3 linked regions of the Callithrix jacchus genome follow. The protein of the gene in region 1 purifies or fractionates together with the protein of each later gene. This does not show direct contact. Links are inferred from orthologs where the notes say so. Each region holds a gene or a part of one and is shown in the gene's direction. Other genes may lie near its edges. The genes, in order: HUS1B, RAD1 and RAD9A.

Region 1 (4,115 bases):
ACAGATATATAGTATATTTATGGTATTATTCATAAAATTGAGAGCAATTAGGGAAAAAAAACCTAAAAGACTCTTAGGGGCACTAATAACAAACAATTTGGGAAACACTGCTCTAGAGGGTTCCTTTTTAGTTACAGATAAGACAAAGATGCTTGCTAATACCACTGTTACTCAGCAGTGTTTTGAAAATTACAGCAAACGCAATGCCAGTTAAATAAATGGCATAAACCTTGAAGAGTAAGAGCCATAATTACAGTACATGAAGATAGTAAGATTTTCTACATAAGAAACATAAAAGATCAATTGAAAAAGAATTTCAGGAGAGAGATTCAGTAACTTGACTGATTTCAAGATATTGTATATTATGTGAACTCCCCAAGAACAGAACTGGATAATTTATTGACAGTCATAAAAAAATGGTTTGAATAAGTGAGAGGATTTAATGTTATAGATATTTTAAATATCCTGAAATAATCTTGCAGTTGATACATTTCATACATTCATTTAACAAATGTGTTGAAAACCAGTTGCATGCCGGATACTGTTCTAAATGTTGGGTGTACAGCGGTGTATGGAACAGGTAAGAACTCCTTTCCTCTAACTTACATTATTATGGTTAGAGCTAGACCGTAAACAGAGAAGTGTAAGTATGTAATATGTGAGGGTGGTGACAATTCCCATCAAAATTCCAGGAAGATTATTTTTAGACTCTGACAAAATATTTTAAAGTTCATCTGGAGCAGTATCTGTGAGAGAATGAGAGAAGTTCTGATAGATTGTCCTATTCAATATTGAAATATAATATAGAAATTAAATCACTGGTACAGGTGCAAGATAGGGCAGTGGGAGAAAATATAGAGAGGGTCAGGAAACATTCAGGAGAAAAATGAGAATTTTTGTCTAAAATAAAATTGACATTTCAGATTAGTGGAAAAGTGAATTTCGTGAATTGTGTGTATCAGCTGGGTATTCAGTACTCCAAAAAAGATTTCAACTGAGTCAAACAACTAAGTTATAAAAACAGATAACATTTAAAGTACCAGAAACAGGACTTTGAAAGCATGACCCTAGAAGTAGCAGAGAAAAAGTCAATAGGTTTGACATAAAAAGATTCAATATTTTCCAAGGGCAAAGAGCACCAAAAACACTGTGAAAAGTCACATGATAAACTGAGGAAGATATTTACAGTACATGTAATGGACAGAGGGTTGATGTTCTTGCTAGAGATCTTAAAATAAAAACAAAATAAACAATAAAAAGATGCAAGGGGCATAAAATGGAATTCACACATAGTGCAAGTTGACATCTTTTTTTTTTTTTTTTTTTTTTGCCTGGTAGAGTGCTACAGATAAAACAGATTGCTAATACTCAATGTTGCTTGTGGTCTGGAGTGTTCATGCAGCTTTCTTCAGGCCAGTTTGAGAATATTCGGATTTTAAATGTGCATTCATTGACCAGCACTTCACCTCCGAATTTAATGCAAGAAAATTATTGGGTAAATAGGCAAAACTATTTTGTCCAAAAATGTTCATTTTGTTCATAATAGCAAAAAATGGGAAATCATCTAAATTGTCATTTGTGTTATAACTCTATACATTGGAAAACCGATCAGCCATGAAAATGATGTAAGTATGTCTCACCAACATGGAAAGATGCCTGTTACATATTTTATGTGTGAAGGTGAGGTTGTAAAATATGTGCCTAGTATGCTATAATTTCATAAGACATGTGGCACTGTATCTTCATATATGCTTATAGATGAAGATGGTATCAGTGTATATTAAAAGTGGTTATCTGAGTGATGATTTTGTCTTCATTAGTGTTTAGAATACTAAGAAGTTTCTGCAGTGGAATGCCTACTCTTTTAATAACCAGAATTGAAACAGGGAATTTTGTGTGAGGGCTCGAGGGAAGGTAAGAAAGGGCGTGGGGACGCCCTTCTGTGGCCCCAGGCCTAGGGCTGTGGAATCCAGAACAGAACCCGGAACCTGAGTGCCTGCCCTGCTGGGGGCCAGAGGGAGGGCAGCGCCGCGGACCAAAGTGGACCGGAAGGGAGCGTGACGTGTGGCATCCTCCTCAGAGGGCCCAGCGTTGCCTTTGCCGATATCATGAAGTTTCGCGCCAAGATCACAGGCAAGGACTCTCTAGACCTGTTCATCCAAGTCAGCAGCACAGTGGCGAGGCTGGTGAAGGTCTGCATGCTCCGCGTGTGCCCCAACGGGTTGTGTTTCGGCTCTGTGGGCTCAGGCGGCCTTCAGGAAGCCAGGCTGTGGTGCGAGGTGCAGCAGCGGGCCTTCCAGCAGTTTCTCATGGAAGGTGTCTCGGAAGGGCTGAATGAGATTCATCTGGAGCTGACGGCGGAGCACCTGTCCAGGGCGGCGAGAAGCGCGGTGGGTGCATCCTCACTGAAGCTGCAGCTCACCAACAAGCGCTGTCCCTGCCTCACGGTGATGGTGGAGCTGGCCTCACCCCTGGGCCGTGTTCGCAGCGTGATGCACGATCTGCCCGTGCGGGTGCTTCCCAGAAGAGTGTGGCGAGACTGCCTGCTGCCCAGCCTGCGCCCCTCGGACGTGAGCATCTACCTGCCGCGCTGGAGGACGCTGAGGAGCATCGTGGAGAGGCTGGTGAACGTGGGCAGTCACGTGCTGCTGGAAGCAAACCTCAGTGGCAGGATGACCCTGAGTATAGAGACGGAGGTGGTGTCAATTAAAAGTTATTTTAAAAATCTTGGAAACCCTCCAAAGTCGGCTGTTGATGTGCCTCAAAACAGAGACCTGGAGAGCATGGTGCAAGTGCGGGTAGATAATCGGAAGCTTCTGCAGTTTTTGGAGGGACAGCAAATAAATCCTATGACGGCTTTATGCAATATTTGGGACAATACTCTTCTTCATCTTGTTTTGGTTCAAGAAGATGTCTCTCTTCAGTATTTCATTCCTGCCTTGTAAAAATACAGCCAACTTAGGTTTTTTTTTTTTAATCTTAAGAACTTTTCAAAACCGAAACAGACCCTGAGTTAATTGGTTTGGAAGTTTGTACCTTCTCTGACTTAATGCTAGGCGTATATTTTGTTGAGCTCTTCCTCCTTTGCAAAATTTATATTAAAGCATTGATAAAACAGTTGGGTAGTTTACCTTTTTGTTTTTTGACTTTGTCAGTTTTTTTCATGCTTAAGATTCTAACAAGAAAATTATTCTTCAACTCTTTGTTGGGGGAGGAGGAAGAGGGTTATATAATGAAATAAATATATTTGAATACTGAAACAGTTGCATCAGTATTTTTATTATAAAATGCTATTGTGTAAAGCGGAACCGTTCTCCTTTTAAAGTATGTATAAACGTGTTCCTAGGGCTTTTCTTATGTAGAGAGCTAAATATAGCTGCAAGATATAAGGTATTTAACATTTGTGTGCATTACATATTGTTTGTTAAGCTGCGTTTTGTCATAGGATATATCAAAGACTATATCAATATACCTGGTTTTTAGATTTATTATCTACATAGTTTGAATTGCTAATTTACTAGGTTCATTTTTCACATGTATCATATTCACATTAGGAATCAAGGATATGTAGGCATATCTCAGAGATATTCCAAGTTTGGTTCCAGACCACTGAGGTAAAGCAAATATTACAATAAAGTCAGATGAGTTTTTTGGATTTTCAGTATATATAAAAGTTATATGTGCACTGTACTGTACTCTGTTGAGTGTACAATAGTACTATATCTAAAAAATGTACACATCTTAATTTTAAAATACTTGTTTGGTAAAAAATGCTACTCATCATCTGAGCCCTCAGCAAGTCATAATCTTTTTGCTGGTGACCTCCCTCTTGATAGCTGCTGACCAATTCCAGTGGTGGTTATTGAAGACTAGGGTAGCTGTGACAATTTCTTAAAATAAGATAGTGAACTTGCTGGATCAATTGACTTTCATGAAAGATTTCTCTGTCGCATGGGGTGCTTTGGGTATTTTATCCACAGCAGAACTTCTTTCAAAATAGTCAGTCCTCTCAAACCCTGCCACTGGTTTATCAACCAAGTTTATATACGGTACTAAATCTTTTGTTGTTATTTCAGCAATATTCACAACATCTTCACCAGGAGTAGATTCTATCT
Region 2 (4,183 bases), on another chromosome or scaffold:
GCTAATTTTTTTGTATTTTTAGTAGAGACGGGGTTTCACCATGTTGACCAGGATGGTCTCGATCACTTGACCTCGTGATCCACCCGCCTCGGCCTCCCAAAGTGCTGGGATTACAGGCGTGAGCCACCGCGCCCGGCCCCCACACTTATCATTCCTCAGAGCTCACTCACCATCACACCACATGGAGTCATTTACTTATCACCTACTCCGTACTAGAGTGTACTATGCTAAGTGCAGAGGACAGAGAAATTAATGTCAAAGATAATCCTTGTCTCCACAGTATACTGTGTAGCTTAAGAATAGTTCTTAGTTGAATGAAAGTTAACTGAAACAACTTGCGTGCACTTCTTTCGAATAAAAACCACCAACTTCTCTGACTTAAGTTTCCTCCTGAACTCCAACATTTCAGGAGGAAGAGGTCACATTCTAGTCACCTTTGCAATCTTTGCCAAAGGAAGCTTAACTTGGAACAATGCGTGGCACATTCAATGTCTGTTCAATACAGGTAAAGCTCAAAGTATCTGGACTATCTTTCATTATCCCTTGAGTTAAAGACCTAGTTAACAACTCACAGTCCCAAGGCCAACAACTTTTTAAAGGCTCACCTAACAAGCTTCAGGATCCCTGCCTGACAGCAGCTGACTTCGGCCGTATATAGGAATACTAATCACTGGAAGAAATACTCAAAAGCGAGAAATAACCAAGGAAAAGCACCACCCTCCAAAAATAATTGAACAACTAGGAAGACAACGCTGGATCTGAGCACCCTGTCAGTCGCTTCCCCGTGGGCCGGCTAAAGGTTCTAAAACCCGCTGCCCCCAGGAGGGCGGCCAAGTGCACAAGAATTAGCTATAAACTCCGTGTCCAGTATGGCCGGGAGAACTGCTAAAACCGACCTACGGTCAACACCCGAGCTATTCTAAAATTAGTAGAGCTGTAGTCAGAACCCCCAAGAAAAGGCGCACAGAGCCGCGGCTGTTGGTGTAACCCTTCTACCTTGCAAACGGGGCCTGGGATCCGGTTTCTCTCTTCTTCCTCCACCTCCTCTGCAGTAGCTCGAGGCTTAGCTGGCGGTTCGGCATCTTTCTCGTTTCTTTTCGGTTTCTTCGCCTGAACTGCCAAGCCTCCACGCCGTTTCCTCTTGGTTGCCGCCATCTTGTCTCGCCGCCTGCGCTCTTTGGCCTTCTTTCCGGTGTTGCCGCTCGCACCCTTTTCCGATCTCTATGGTTCGGCGGCTCTAAGCGCTCGGTTCAGCGGTCGTCCTCCAGCTCGGTGGTGCCTGCCTGCTTCCGGTCTTGGAGGCGCTGCACGCTTGGCTCTCTAGGATTCGTTCCGCTCCATGGTGACGGTGGCCGAGGTGGAGGGCCGAGCTGAAAAGTGTCGGGACCCGCTTCCCTTCTTCCGCGGTTTTTCGGAGCCGCCTTGCTACTCCTCAGGGACTTTGCCGGGAAGGGCTCTCGGGCGTCCAGACCCCACTGCAAAGGTAGGGTGTCAGCACTCGAGGACTGAGAGTAGTAAGTGATGCTGTCCAGCGGGCGAGCTGGTGAATGGGCTTGTCTGGGACCCTTGGGGGATCTTCTGGGCACTCCGAGCCCGCCCCCCCCCCCCCCATCGCCTGTTGCGTTGGAGGCGAGGCTTGCGGCGCGGGCGACACAAAACCGACTCCGTAGGGATTCGTAGCTCCTGTTTGGCCGGGATAAGCTGGCCCCAAGCGGAGATACCGTGTCAGTTGCGTGTCTTCATTCTTCACAACTTTTCACGTTATTGTCCCCTTACGGAGATGAGGAAACCGTAGCTTAGAAAATTTTCTCCCAGAGTTACAAAGACAGTTAAGTGGCATCGGTGGGGTTCGGCCTGGTCAGCCAAGTTCAGCTGCCCAATCCCCTTCCATTTCTCAGCGCAGGTGGAGCTCGCCAGACCTCGCCAGCACTGATGGGAGTTTTATTGTCCAATCCCTTCAGGTATTTCGCGATCCGCGGGAGCAGGTGTTGGCCCCAGAAGCATCCCTCGGGGCCGAATGTGCAGCGGACAATGCCCCTTCTGACCCAACAGATCCAAGACGATGATGATCAGTACAGCCTCGTGGCCAGCCTTGACAACGTTAGGAATCTCTCCACTATCTTGAAAGCTATTCATTTCCGAGAACATGCCACATGTTTTGCAACTAAAAATGGAATCAAAGTAACTGTGGAAAATGCAAAGTGTGTGCAGGCAAATGCTTTTATTCAGGTATGGAAATATGTGCCTTTAAGCCTGTGCCATAGATATTCTAAATGCAGTTTAATGAAATCTGAAGGTTTTAGTAGACAATAAATGACTTTATAGTCAATAGTCCTGAATAAATAGTATATGAATAAATAGCTGTATAGTCTTAAGTCAGAGAACAAAACGCCTTTACTTGAGTTTTTTTTTCTCTCCTGGTAACAAATTTTTTTTCCCATCTTGTTTTACAGAGATAATGGTTAGTAATGACTAAAAAGCTAGACTATTAGCTAGGCACTCCTCTTAGTATTTAACTTACTTAATCTTAACAGTAGTCCTGTAAGGTAGGTTCTGTTATTATTTCCATTTTGTATATGTAGAAACGAGGCACAATTTAAGTGATTTGCCAGCAGCCCCACAGCTGTTAAGTGGCTGAATTGGGATAAGAACCCTGAACATTTGTTTCCAGAATATATGCTCTTTACCACTGCGATACTACCACCTTGCTATTACTAAAGAGTATTTTTTCCTTTACTGGTTGTAGTAGAATTTTTATTCTTCCAGAGTAATATTTGTATGGTTAAGATAGGATTGCAAATTCAACTAAGCGTTTTTTAACACCTAAGTGCACAGCATGACGTCAGGGATAGAAAGGTAAATAAGACATGGTTCTTGCCCTCATGCAGGACATGGTATAGTGGTTCACACCTGTATTCCCAGCTGCTCAGAAGGCTGAGGCAGAGATGGGAAGATTGCTCCAGCCTGGTCAACCATAGTGAGACCCCCATATCAATAAAAAATAATAATAAAAGTTGAAACTAGGCCGGACACGGTGGCTCACGCCTGTAATCCCAGCACTTTGGGAGGCCGAGGCGGGTGGATCACAAGGTCAAGAGATCGAGACTATCCTGGTCAACATGGTGAAACCCCGTCTCTACTAAAAATACAAAAAATTAGCTGGGCACGGTGGCGCGTGCCTGTAATCCCAGCTACTCAGGAGGCTGAGGCAGGAGAATTGCCTGAACCCAGGAGGCGGAGGTTGTGGTGAGGCGAGATGGCGCCATTGCACTCCAGCCTGGGTAACGAGCAAAACTCTGTCTCAAAAAAAAAAAAGTTGAAACTAATATTGTTCATGCGTTACCAAGTCGTTTGTGTATTTTCCAAGTGACCTAAGCAGTAGTGATAGGCACAAAAATGAGACAAGGGGTAGTCACAGAGGGATAGTTTTAGATCCAGGAATGGAGATAAGGATGCTTCACAAGGATGTCTCTAGGATGTTTTGATTGCTAATGAGAAATTATTCTCGTGGGATTAGCACAGTATTGTATTTTTTAAACATATAAAGTGAAATCTAGGACCTTATGTATTAGTTTTCATTCTTTTGTGTAACCATTTTCATTTTTACTTTTTTCATAGGCTGGAATATTTCAGGAGTTTAAAGTTCAGGAAGAATCTGTTACGTTTCGAATTAATTTAACTGTCCTTTTAGACTGTTTATCTATTTTTGGATCAAGTCCTATGCCAGGTAAACTATTATCAGTAGAAGGACATAAAAGTGTTATATACAATGGACAGAAAAATTCAGGAATTTATTTGGAATATAAACATTTGTTCAGAAAGTTATTGCCAATTCATTTTTCATTGGCCACAGTCATGGGTTCTAACTTTTCCCAATGTTAATTGCAAGTGTGTTTATAGTTCTTTCCTTTGTAAAAGTATTAACATTTGTCTTTTTTTAATTTACAAGGCTTTGAGGGAATTTAAATCTGAACTGGCCAAAAGAATGCTTTGGGCATGTCTTAAATATCTTTAACATTGTGAAACGTAATTGCTTCTTTTCCCTAACTTGTCCAGAATTACTCAGCTAGTTAGTGGCAGGGAAAAACAGAAGCCGGTTCTACTGACTCCTAGTTTGTACTGTGTTCAAAATTTGTTTCTTTCAAGCCATATTTTATAAGTTATGTCTATTTTGCCAAATGAT
Region 3 (3,601 bases), on another chromosome or scaffold:
CTGCGAGCGCCTGGGGGGAACTCGGGGGAAGGCCCGGGTGTGCGACCCCTCCATGCTGCCGCAGCGCCGAGGCCGACTCTGAAAGCTTCATGGGGAAGGGGGGTTTCAACAGGTGGTGGCGGAGCGGGAGGACGACAGGGCAAGTGTGGGCAGAGGCAGCCAGAGGGCTGGGTCTGTGGCTGCCCCCTGACCACGTCCCTCTCCCTGCTCTTCGTGGCGCAGCTCTCCCTCCGGACGGTGAACTCCTCCCGCTCTGCCTATGCCTGCTTCCTCTTTGCCCCACTCTTCTTCCAGCAGTACCAGGCCACCACCCCCGGTCAGGACCTGCTGCGCTGTAAGATCCTGATGAAGGTGAGGCCCTTCCCTCAGCAGTGGCACTGCCCCACCCCGGGAATCTCCACCAGCTGTGCTTCTCCGCTGGGGTACTCAGTAGATGCTAAGTGGGGAGAGAGAGACACGTGCAAGCCCAATCCATGCAAATCAGAGGGAGAGGCATGGTAAAAGCATCACAGTGGGGACCTGAGAGGGTGGTGACGCTCAAGTTCGTTAAGAAAGGTAAGCAGGTCGGCCTGGCGCGGTGGGTCACGCCTGTAATCCCAGCACTTTGGGAGGCCGAGGCAGGTGGTTCAGGAGATCGAGACTATCCTGGCCAACGTGGTGAAACCCTGTTTCTACAAAAATACAAAAATTTAGCTGGGCGTAGCGCGCACCTATAATCCCAGCTTCTCGGGAGGCTGAACCAGGAGAATTGCTTGAACCCAGGAGACGGAGGTTGCAGTGAGCCGAGATCACTCCATTGCAGTCCAGCCTAGCAACAGAGGGAGACTCCGTCTCAAAAAAAAAAAAAAAAAAAAAAAAAAGGCAAACAGGTCTTTCAGGGCATTCCAGGCATAGGGAAGAGCATGACTGAGGCCTAGAAGGGTGCCAGGGTCTCGCATGGTGTGGGAGCCCTTTCCCCAGTTTCATGCTGGGCCCATGATGGGCAAGGGCCTGCGTGGGACAGGAAAGCTGGTCGCAGAGATACGGTGCCAGGCTGAGGTGTCTTACCCTATGCAGTCCTTCCTGTCTGTCTTCCGCTCACTGGTGATGCTGGAGAAGACAGTGGAAAAATGCTGCATCTCCCTGAACGGCCAGAGCAGCCGCCTGGTGGTCCAGCTGCACTGCAAGTTCGGTGAGTGGGCAGTCGGCCGGCCAAGGGATGCCTCAGCCAGGAGGTTGGCGAGGCCCACTGAGACCCTGTCGCCCATCCAGGGGTGCGGAAGACTCACAACTTGTCCTTCCAGGATTGCGAGTCCCTGCAGGCCGTCTTCGACCCAGCCTTGTGCCCTCATGTGCTCCGCGCCCCAGCACGGTGAGCACAGCCTGCCCTCAGCTCCGCCCCAGGTCTGTCTCTTCCTTCTTTGGGGCCCCAAAGGTTGATTTCAGAAGGTGCCTCCTTCATTTTCCCTACAGAGTTTCTGTGAGCCTCAAAGACGTCCCACGGCCCTCTGCGCTCAGGTCCTTACCTGGCTCTTTAAAGGCTGAGGGCAACTGAAGGTTTGCCCCTGACCCCTTCTCTGGCCTGGGCATCCTTCTGGAGGTATTCCCCATTCAAGGGCAGCCTCTCTCCCTGACTGCCTAGGATCTAGCTTTGAGGAGTCCCCAAGGTCAGGGCAGGAGGCCGCCTGAACAATCGGCTGTGGGGTAGAGCGGTTCTGGGCAGTCCAAGCACTGGGGGCTCTCGGGGGCCAGGGAAACAGGAACTCAAGTGGAAGCAAAGGTCCCCGGAGAGGACCAGGTTGGAGAGGAGTGGGCTCTCCCCCTGCCTCACACTGGACACTGCTTGCATTCAAGTGGCCCAAGGTCCTGTTCATTTTTCAGGGTGACTGAAGGTCCCTTTGGGTCCTGACATGTTTCCCCAGGTTCTCTTGAGCCATCACTGCTCAGAGCTCTTTTGGGTAGTGAGAGAGGGATTTTTTTTTTTTTTTTAAATGAACAGTTGTCTTGTTTGGAGATGGAGTCTTGCTCTGTCGCCTGGGCTAGAGTATAGTGGTGTGATCTTGGCTCACTGCAACCTCTGCCTCCTGCCTCAGCCCCCCGAGTAACAGGGATTACAGGCGTGCACCACCATGCCCGGCTATTTCTTTTTTTTTTTTGGAGACTGAGTTTCACTCTTGCTCCCCAGACTGGAGGACAGTGGCAAGATCTTGGCTCACTGTAAACTCTGCCTCCCAGGTTCAAGTGATTCTCCTGTCAGCCTCCGGAGTAGCTGGGACTACAGGTGCCCACCACCACACCTGGCTAATTTTTCTAGTTTTAGTAGAAATAGGGTTTCACCACGTTGGCCACACTGGCCTTGAACCCCTGACCTCAGGTGAGCCGCCTGCCTTGGCCTCTCGAAGTGCTGGGATTACAGGCATGAACCACCATGACCGGCCCAGTTTTTGTATTTTTAGTAGAGAAGTTTTACCACGTTGGCCAAGCTGGTCTCGAACTCCTGACCTCAAGTGATCTACGGTTGGGGTCTCCCCAAATGCTGGGATTACAGGTGTGAGCCACCGTGCCTGGCCACTCTGTTTTTCTTTTTTTTCAATCCTCGTGAAGGGGCCTTGGGAATCTTTGCATCCTCCCAGTTTTAGCGTATGTGCTGCGGAAGTGAGTACTCTGTCTCATGAATAGTTTCAAGTATATGTAAAAGCAGAGCAGCTCCTGTCCCCACTGGACTTGAAGCAGATTCCAGATGTGATCCATCTGTAGAGCGGTGGGTATACTTAGAGGGTAAGCATTTCAGGCCTCTTTCTGAAGGCCAGCTTGGTAGGGCAGCGTGAGTGCCGAGTCCTGCCTCTGTGCCCTCTCCCTGCCGCCTTCTCTGGGCCTCATCCATGCGCTAGGCCTGTGCCCATCCATGTGGGTGCCTGTGTCACCCCTGCCTCAGGTGACAGGGCCAAGTATTTAGGGTGATGCTCTGCCCTGTTCACAGAGTCCTGGGGGAGGCTGTCCTGCCCTTTCCTCCTGCGCTGGCTGAAGTGACGCTGGGCATTGGCCGTGGCTGCAGGGTGATCCTGCGCAGCTACCATGAGGAGGACGCAGGTGAGGGAGCTGGACGTGGCGTGGGACAGAGCAGAGCTGCGGGTGGGAGAGAGGCGGGGCCCAGGTTCCTCCTGTTCTTCCCCAACAGATAGCACTGTCAGAGCCATGGTGACTGAGGTGTGCCTTGGGGAGGAGGACTTCCAGCAGCTGCAGGCCCAGGAGGGGGCGGCCATCACCTTCTGCCTCAAGGAATTCCGGGTGAGGATCCCCCCACGAATTCGCCTTGGGTCCTCCCTTCCTCGCCCAGCCCAGCCCAGGGCCTCACCTGCTACCTCTTCCCTCCCAGGGGCTCCTGAGTTTTGCAGAGTCAGCAAACTTGAATCTTTGCATTCACTTTGATGCTCCGGGCAGGTAATTTCCAGCCTCAGGACAGGGAAGGGCACTGGGATGCCAGGAGCTGAATGGGATGACCTAGCTTGGGGCTCCCCTCCCCGGCCCAGGCCTGCCATCTTCACCGTCAAGGACTCTTTGCTGGACGGCCACTTTGTCTTGGCCACACTCTCAGAGACAGACTCGTACTCCCAGGACCTGG

Evidence for each region.
Region 2: the proteins of HUS1B (region 1) and RAD1 purify together in Homo sapiens (co-immunoprecipitation; 3 studies listed by BioGRID and IntAct, counting the BioPlex papers as one, with this or other methods). This does not show direct contact. The link is inferred for Callithrix jacchus from reciprocal best matches to the Homo sapiens genes HUS1B and RAD1.
Region 3: the proteins of HUS1B (region 1) and RAD9A purify together in Homo sapiens (co-immunoprecipitation; 3 studies listed by BioGRID and IntAct, counting the BioPlex papers as one, with this or other methods). This does not show direct contact. The link is inferred for Callithrix jacchus from reciprocal best matches to the Homo sapiens genes HUS1B and RAD9A.

Annotation. Positions count from the first base shown.
Region 1 is NC_133505.1:31,058,699-31,062,813, forward strand, and holds HUS1B (checkpoint protein HUS1B), read left to right. Parts: upstream 1-1,308; 5' UTR 1,309-2,108; coding exon 2,109-2,945; 3' UTR 2,946-4,024; downstream 4,025-4,115.
Region 2 is NC_133503.1:170,711,451-170,715,633, forward strand, and holds the start of RAD1 (cell cycle checkpoint protein RAD1), read left to right. Parts: upstream 1-1,322; 5' UTR 1,323-1,483; intron 1,484-1,617; exon of another isoform or gene 1,618-1,828; intron 1,829-1,961; 5' UTR 1,962-2,031; coding exon 2,032-2,229; intron 2,230-3,618; coding exon 3,619-3,727; intron 3,728-4,183. Other genes in the region: BRIX1 (ribosome biogenesis protein BRX1 homolog), read right to left, coding at 997-1,155. UniProt on the Homo sapiens protein: Component of the 9-1-1 cell-cycle checkpoint response complex that plays a major role in DNA repair. The 9-1-1 complex is recruited to DNA lesion upon damage by the RAD17-replication factor C (RFC) clamp loader complex.
Region 3 is NC_133511.1:124,471,370-124,474,970, forward strand, and holds part of RAD9A (cell cycle checkpoint control protein RAD9A), read left to right. Parts: intron 1-222; coding exon 223-351; intron 352-1,056; coding exon 1,057-1,171; intron 1,172-1,251; coding exon 1,252-1,351; intron 1,352-2,959; coding exon 2,960-3,069; intron 3,070-3,157; coding exon 3,158-3,267; intron 3,268-3,355; coding exon of another isoform or gene 3,356-3,420; coding exon 3,421-3,601. UniProt on the Homo sapiens protein: Component of the 9-1-1 cell-cycle checkpoint response complex that plays a major role in DNA repair. The 9-1-1 complex is recruited to DNA lesion upon damage by the RAD17-replication factor C (RFC) clamp loader complex.